Linked DNA regions of Macaca mulatta. The protein of the gene in region 1 purifies or fractionates together with the protein of each later gene. This does not show direct contact. Links are inferred from orthologs where the notes say so. Each region holds a gene or a part of one and is shown in the gene's direction. Other genes may lie near its edges.

What was found. Proteins that work in one complex are often made in the same cells at the same time.
Region 2: the proteins of SLC31A1 (region 1) and B3GAT3 purify together in Homo sapiens (co-immunoprecipitation; 3 studies listed by BioGRID and IntAct, with this or other methods). This does not show direct contact. The link is inferred for Macaca mulatta from reciprocal best matches to the Homo sapiens genes SLC31A1 and B3GAT3.

The regions. Positions count from the first base shown.
Region 1 is NC_133420.1:45,087,295-45,091,393, reverse strand, and holds the start of SLC31A1 (high affinity copper uptake protein 1), read left to right. Parts: upstream 1-1,296; 5' UTR 1,297-1,433; intron 1,434-4,099. Other genes in the region: FKBP15 (FK506-binding protein 15), read right to left, coding at 958-1,010.
Region 2 is NC_133419.1:11,443,658-11,447,789, forward strand, and holds the start of B3GAT3 (galactosylgalactosylxylosylprotein 3-beta-glucuronosyltransferase 3), read left to right. Parts: upstream 1-1,323; 5' UTR 1,324-1,360; coding exon 1,361-1,442; intron 1,443-2,014; exon of another isoform or gene 2,015-2,184; coding exon of another isoform or gene 2,185-2,253; intron 2,254-2,636; coding exon 2,637-2,811; intron 2,812-4,132. UniProt on the Homo sapiens protein: Glycosaminoglycans biosynthesis. Involved in forming the linkage tetrasaccharide present in heparan sulfate and chondroitin sulfate.

The DNA.
Region 1 (4,099 bases):
GTCATTTTTCCAGTACATTCTTCAGCACGCACAAAATTTGTTAAGCATATGTTCAAAGATAAGCTCTGCAATGATCAGAGCTTGGTAGCTCACAAGTTTGGAGGAAGTCAAGCTGTCCACCGGCACAACACAATGGAAAAGGCTAAACTGACCACTGAAAGAGACAAAACCCTGCCTCTCTTTAAAGATTTCTATCCCAGGCTGGTATATATTAATATAACGCTTGAAGAAACTGGAGAATGACGGAAGTCTGTTACGTTGGTTTTAAGCTTTAAACTTTACAAAGTGCAGTTTCGCAGCTATTATTCATTCAACAGCCACTTCCTGAGCACTCACTATGTGCTAGGTACCATGCTGAGTGCTAGACAGAAATGAACAACATAAGCAGTCCCTGTCCTGTGAGGACTCATAATCTAATAGGTTTGGGGTACAAGAACAGAGGCAAACACACCTAACTGTAGGAATAAGGAAGAGAAAGCAATTCATTCTGCCTGAGGCTGCAGGAGAAGGAAAAGCATCCAAAACGTGACATCCGAGCTGGGCCTTGAAGAATGCTAGAGCTGACCCACCAGGGCCCGGTTCTAAAGTGTCATCGCCTTCTCCACGGAGAAGAGAAAGTCTCTTATCAGCCCCAGGTGACTCCTACAAAAATTCTGAGGCAGGAAGTTTCATCAGCAATCATTCCCATTTCACAGGAGAAATTGTGACCCAGAATGCAAAAGGCAAACCCCAGGGTTATCTTCGCGCCAAGAGAGATGCCGGGTCCCGAACCTCAGATTGGCAGAGTCAGCACAGTTGGAAGCTCTGCCCAGATTCTGAGAGGTGTAGAGCACCGGAATGTGTCAAGAGTCTCCCCCCGGAAGTTGGGAAAAGGCCTGAGAAGAGATCGACCCCCCTCCAAAAATCCGCCGGTATCTCTCAGCCACGCCCTCCAGCGCATACTTCTCAGTCACTCACCCGCCGCTGGGCGATAGGAAATCGGTGTCGTCCTCGTCCCCCGCACCGAACATTGCGTTGGCTTTCACCAGGCTGCGGGGAGGAAGCTGGGTATTTCCAGAGTCCCAGGGCTTGTCACCGCCGACGTCGTAAAATGCCGCGGCGGCGTGCTGCTTTCCGGCAGGGTGAACTCCCTCACGGTCTCTGGGCTGAAAGTAGTCTAGGCTCTGGAGAAGGTGGGGCAAAGGCAAATGAGAGGCTCGCGCCGCCAGACGTCAGGCCTCTCCAGCCCGCAGGGGGTCGGAGCTTCACAGTCTCGTGCAGGGATTGGTCGGTAATGCTAGGGGGCGGGAGGGGGCGGGAAATCCTCGGCCTCGGAGGCTGTCGTGGACACGTCGAGCCGGGTAGAAGTGGACGGGCCGTTCGAGGAGTCGTGAGGGGGTGACGGGTTAAGATTGGGAGAGAGAGGCGCCAGTGGCTGGACTCGACCTGGGAAGGTAAGGCTTCTCCCGGTCCCTCTCTAGCACCCCTGTGCATGGGTACCGTGCTTTCCCCAGCGGGACAAGGACCCTTCTGGCCGCTCTCCTCAGCTCCGCGGAAGGAGAAAGAGCGCGGGACTGGAGGGTTAAAGACTTGGGCTTCGACCCGGTCCCTGCAGTGGCTTAGCCAGAGTGACCTTGGGCCGCGGTGCTCGGTGCCTCAGTTTCCCCGTGTGTGCAACCGGCCATTTGTCCAGTGCTTCCATGTGCCGGCTGGTCCAGAAGCTTTTAGAGCTCAGAGGCCATCGATTTCGATCCCGGCCTCCTCGTAATCTCAGAATTTACAGATAGGGAGACGAAGGAACTAAGCACCCGGGTGACTAGTCCGAGGTCACAAAGAGTAAAGGGCAGACTGAGACTGGATTCCTCGTCCTTTGATTCAGGACATAGTGAGCTAGTGCGTGAACAAGAACGTTACCAGCCCTTAAGCACTGTGTGCCCTTACAGAATGGCTATTGAAAGACTGTAGCATACACCTCGAGGAAAATTCCCTTTCTAGAGTCCACCTGTATTCTACGCAGGTGAGGTGCAGAAGAACTAGGATATTCTGGCGGTGGGTGATGGAAAGGAGGATACTTTGGAGGCAGACACATCCCCAGCCCAACCTTGGCGTGGGTTTCCCTGGGTCTTCCTGCGACAGTCCTAAATCAACATCAATTGTGACGGACTCCTCTGACTCCAGTTTCCACCCTATCTGTATCTTACCTAAGTATTTTTTTGGTTAACCTGGTTTCATTCTCGAAACAATCCTGGGGTAGTCCTGGCTTAGGTAAGGTGTGGCTCAGGAGATAGTGTCCCAGTGTAGCGTCCACAGACTCAATGGAGTTCTTGGGCTTCCCCTCACAGTCAGGTTGGTACTACAGGTGTCCCTTACCTGAATGTTTCAATCTGTCAGTATGAAATTGAAGCGAAGTTCTCCCTCCCAGAGAACTTTGCACCTCCTGGCAAAGATGTTAAAGCAGCGAAGCCTCACAGTTGGAATGATGCAACTGGAATCTAAGCACTAGAACCGGAAATGGAACTAGAATCTAAGGACTAGCATTAGAACTGTTGCAGTAGCTCTGTTTAGTGTGTGAACTTGGCTACCTCTTAGAGGTGTTGGGGGAATAACTGGATTAAGTACCATGGCACTTTTTAATCACTCTCCCCAATACTGGTCACTGTGATTGCAGCCCTGAAACATCTAAATGTTTAACAGAAAGAGCTTGCTAGCCCCTGGCCTACATTATCTATGCTATTTTTAACATAGAGTGAATACTTAAAGTCACTTTCAAAGCAGTCTCACTGCAGAATCTTTCTAGTTGTTTATGAAATGTCCTTCCAGCCTTTTCTTTTAAAAAAAAAAAATGGCCAAGGGAATATTTGAACTCTGATCTTGTATTCTTGGGTGGAGGTGTTTTTATCCTGGATGTTTAAGTAGCTTTTTAGGTACTCAGGAATCCTAAAATCAATAGCCTTTTTGTTGATTGGAACATCACGAACGTGCATACCCAGATTATCACTGTAGAAACACAGCTGCTGATTCTTATTAGCAGTATGAGGAGGAGGAAGATGATGGTGAGTCTTCCCAGGCTTTGAACTGCAGGACTGGGTGCACCTAAAAAAAAAGAAAAGAAAGCCACTGTCTTCCTAAATTCGTGTATCTTCAGATTGGTAATATTGGACTAGGAATCAGGAAATCTGAATTCCTGTCCCAGCCCTTCTAACTCAACTCTGAGTTTGGTCCAGGCTCCCTAAACACCGTAAAACAAGTGGATTAGACCTGGACTTCTACTGAGTAATTCTTGGGGATACAAAAGCAAGTAAGGCACAACCTTGATCTCAAGTTTAAAGTAAGCATTTTTGTTTATTTGTTTTGCTTAAGTATACAACTTTTAGAATATTCATGAAATGTATTGTCAACCCTCTGAAGATTGGCCAGGAAGCAGCAATTTTTTTCCTCCACCCTCCACCCTCCTTCCTCCCTCAGGGAAGCAGCAATTTTAATACTTTTCAAATTATCAGCAATTTTGCAACAGAGATGACAGTCTTTATATACGAGTATGCCCATACTAATCTGTACTGATGCATGCATTTTAAAATTAGTAGTTTAAAGTTATAACCAAGTTATATCAGGTATAATGACAGGAATATGAATTAAATGCAGCTTCTAGGGCATCTATAACATTCACTCAGTTACTGAAAGCAGACTTTTAGGGCCATTAGTTGGCTAACTGAAGAAGTACGTTAAAGCAGGGAATCACACAGATAATAGTTACATACATAACATTTTAACGAGGACATAAACATTCTTTTGCCATTCTTTTAACATAAGGCCTCAGCCTTTTCTTGGAATGTAGGACCCTGTTGCCTGTTTTTATAAGTAAAGCTTTATTAGAACACAGCCTTGCTCATTTGTTTATGTATTGTCTATGACTACTCTCAGCCTACAAGGCAGAATTGAGTATTAGTGGTTGAGACAGAAACCACATGGCCTTCAACACCTAAAATGTTTACTTTTGACCCTTTACAGAAAGAGCTTGCTAGCCCCTGGCCTACCTTATCTATGGTATTTTTAACATAGAATGAATACTTAAAGTCACTTGCAAAGCAGTCTCACTGCAGAATCTTTCTAGGTGTTTATG
Region 2 (4,132 bases), on another chromosome or scaffold:
TGTGGGGGGTTGAGACAGGGTCTCGTTCTACTGCTGAGGCTGGAGTGCTGGGAGTGCTGTGACATGATCCCGGCTCATTGCAGCCTTGACCTCCCAGGCTCCTAAAGTGCTGGGATTACAGGCATCAGCCACCATGCCCAACCTAAAGGCTTCTGCTTGTAGCTAACAGCATTTTGTAAAGTTTCCCATTGTTTTAGTGACAGGAAGTATACTGTTCCCCGTCTCCCCCTCATTTTGTAGACTGACCACAAGTCAGAGATTATTTTACCAGAAACTCTTTTTGGTGGGGGTTGGAGGGCTTTTTTTGAGACGGGGTCTCACCCAGTCACCCAGGCTGGAGTGCAGTGGCATGATCACGGCTCACCACAGCCTCAGCCGCCCACATCAGCCTCCCAAGTAGCTGGGACTGTAGGCCCGCGCCACTACACCCGGCTAATTTTTGTGTTTTTTTGTAGAGACGGGGTTTTGCCTTGTTGCCGAGTTTGATCTGAAACTCCTGGGCTTCTAAAGTGCTAGGATTACAGTCATGAGCCACTGTGCCAGGCCCTTTTTTTTTTTTTTTTTAAAGGAAAAATGAGAAGGATGGCTTGTGCTTGTGAGGAGGAAGGGGATGCATTCCTGGAATTCTCCAGCTCAGGAACTATTTCCAATCAATTTCCTGGTAGTTAAAACACTTCCTTGGCACCCTTGTTGTCATCTGTTGAAGAAATGTGGGCCAGAGGAAACACTAGAGATGCCGGAATCAGGTGTCTAGAAAGGACACAAAACTGCCTTGTGGCAATGACATAATTTTTGTCAACTTTAGTTTCTTATCTATCTCAAAGTATTATAGTGATAATTCCAGGAGAGACACCCAGAGGATCATGTGGTGGGCCTTAGATTTCATTCATTTGTGTAATGAGTATTGAGCAACTGCTGTTGGGTGGCGTGACTGATGGTTGGATGAATAAGGTGAAGATCTGGACGGCAGGACTGGCTTTCTCATGCAATTCCGTGATCGGGGGCGGGTCGCGAGGTAGGTGCCACGTGCACCTACCTACCCGAGATTCTGCACCTACCCGGGATTTTGACTGCCGTCCACGCGAGTTTGGCACGCCGGATGTGACGTCACCGCCCCGTGGTTCCCGGAGCCTGGCGGTGGGACCGGAAATCAAGTCTACAAGGGGGCACAGATGACCGGAAGCGTGCCCGGGCGGTGCTGCCAGCCCCGGCTAGGAGCTGGTAGGGGAGTGCGAAGAAGGCGGGACGCAGGGCGGAGCCGGTGGAGGGGCGGGGCCTGTGGGCAGGCGCCGGGGGTTGGGGCGGGAACCCCTCGTCCCCTCTAGACCCCGCCTGCTCGGGCGCGGGCGGCGGCGCGGCCATGAAGCTGAAGCTGAAGAACGTGTTTCTCGCCTACTTCCTGGTGTCGATCGCCGGCCTCCTCTACGCGCTGGTACAGCTCGGTGAGCGGGGCGGGGCGGGGGTGCGGCGGGCTGGCCCGTGGGCGCCCGCCGCCGTGCATCCCGCCCTGGGGATGAACCCCCGGCAAACACCATTCATCCGCTCGACCCTCCGGACAGCTCTGCGGCCGCAGGCGCACTCCCCTCTATAGAACGCACCGCGGCGGCCCGCCGCACCTCGGATGAAATCCAGACTCCTTCCCAGAGCCTGCAAGGCCCCGCATGATCCTGCTGCCGTCCGCCTCTCCCAACCCCATTTCCCACCCCTCTCCCTCGCTCTGCTGCAGCCAGACTGGCTTGCTGACAGTTTCTCGAAAACGCCAGGCTCATTGCTCTCTCAAGCGCTTAACTTGTTCCCTCTACTTGGGGTGCTTTTCTTCCAGCTCTTTCCGGGCTGCCTCTTTCTCATCCTTCAGGTCTTAGCTCAAATGTCACCTCCTCAGAGAGGCCTTCCCTGACTACCATAGCTAAAGATACCATTCTTATTCCATTCCCTTTTATTCTCTATCCTGATTATTTTTTTCATGACCCCATCACAGTTTGTAATAATGTTATTAATTTGTTTCTTTGCTTAGTGTCTGCTTCCTCCGCTAAACTGAAAGCTCGATGAGGGCAGGGACTGTGTCTGTTTTGTTCCCTGCTGTATCCTCAGCACCTAAGGCAGTGCCTCCTAGGAAGAGTATTCAATAAATATTTATCCTACAATGGAATCAATGAATTTAACAATGAGTCTTTGGTCACCCAGCCAAGGGAATGGATCGAACCCTGCCCCTTATGCAAAGATTTAGGGACAGTGCCACTGCGTTATCCTCAGGTATTTGAAAGACTATCCTAAAGGGGTTCTATAGTGTAATGGTTAGTTAGCACCTTGGACTCTGAAAAGACTGTCCTGTTTAAGGACATGAGCTTGTTATGAGTCCAGAAGGCAAAATTAGGACCAGCAGATAGAAAAGATGGAATCAGCTCAATATCCAACGTAAAATTGTAACAATGGAATTTATTAAAGTTGGAGAGGGTCTGCTGCTTGAGGCAGTGAGTTTCCCACACCAGAAGTGTAGAAAAGGCTACTAGGGAAGTCATAAGGGGATACCTGCATTGTCTAGGAATTAATGAGAAGATTATGGCCCTTTGGGATGCTGAACATTCTGTGGTTCTCTGCCCCCATCCTCTTTCCCCATTAATGCTTCCTGGGACCAGGCCAGCCATGTGACTGCCTTCCTCCCCTGCGGGCAGCAGCGGAGCAGCTACGGCAGAAGGATCTGAGGATTTCCCAGCTGCAAGCGGAACTCCGACGGCCACCCCCTGCCCCTGCCCAGCCCCCTGAACCTGAGGCCCTGCCTACTATCTATGTTGTTACCCCCACCTATGCCAGGTATGGGCTCTGGTACACCCAAGAGGTCTGCATTGTCCAATGAGTTGGAGTTGATGAGGAGTTTGGGGAGGCACTGGGCTAGGAGTTGTTCCTCAAACTAGGGCATGCCAAAGACAGGATAAATGAACCACATCTATACTAAAATAGCTGTGGGAAAATAGTTCATTTTCAGGCGGGGCGCGGTGGCTCAAGCCTGTAATCCCAGCACTTTAGGAGGCCAAGGCGGGTGGGTCACCTGAGGTCGCGAGTTCGAAACCAGCCTGGCCAACATGGCAAAACCCCGTCTCTACTAAAAATACAAAATTAGCCAGGTGTGGTGGCGCATGCCTGTAATCCCAGCTACTTGGGAGGCTGAGGCAGGAGAATCCCTTGAACCTGAGAGGTGGAGGTTGCAGTGAGCTGAGATCACACTATTGCACTCTAGCCTGGGCAACAAGAGTGAAACTCTATCTCAAAAACAAAACCAAAAAAAAAGAAAAAATGGTTGTTTTTCTAGAAGGAAAATACAAAATTCCTACCAAATTATAAGACAGAACAATAACATTTCAAATAAATTTTGAGCTTGGCAGTGAATTAACTCTCTCTCCTTAGGGACCCTTTGGGGAGAAAGTTAAAACCCCCTGATTAAAGTTGAAAGGGCTTGTCTGGGCGCAGTGGCTCATGCCTGTAATCCCAGCACTTTGGGAGCCCGAGGCTGGTGGATCGCCTGAGCTCAGGAGTTTGACACCAGCCTGGGCAACATGGTGAAACTTTTGTCTCTATAAAAAAAAAAAAAAAAAAAAAAAGGTAGCTGGGCTTGGTGCTGCATGCCTGTAATCCCAGCTACTCTGGAGGCTGAGGTGGGAAGATTGCTTGAGCCTGGGAGGCGGAGGTTGCAGTGAGTGGAGATCATGCAACCTGGGCGACAGAGAGAGAGCCCATCTCAAAAAAAAAAAAAAAAAAAAAAAGTTGAAAGCACTTGGCCTGATAGTCATCCTAGGGTCCAGAAATAGTTATACCAGCTGTTACTTACAGTGTGTTTACTCTCTACCAGGCACTGTGTTTAGTGATTTACATTTGCTTTTGTTTTAAATCAAAATGTAATTGGTTTTACTAATAAAACCAGTTGGGGAATGTGGTTTTTGGATCTGTAGCCATAAGGGTGTTAATACATCTGGGAATCAGATGGCTGTCCCATTCATGCACAGGAAGTTCTAGACCCCACCTGTGACATGCACACATACACACACACACCACCAGCCCTGGGACAGGCAGGTAGATCTGAAGGATAAAGAAGCACAGAAGAGCCAAGCCCCACGTTCCACGTTCCACATTCCTGGTT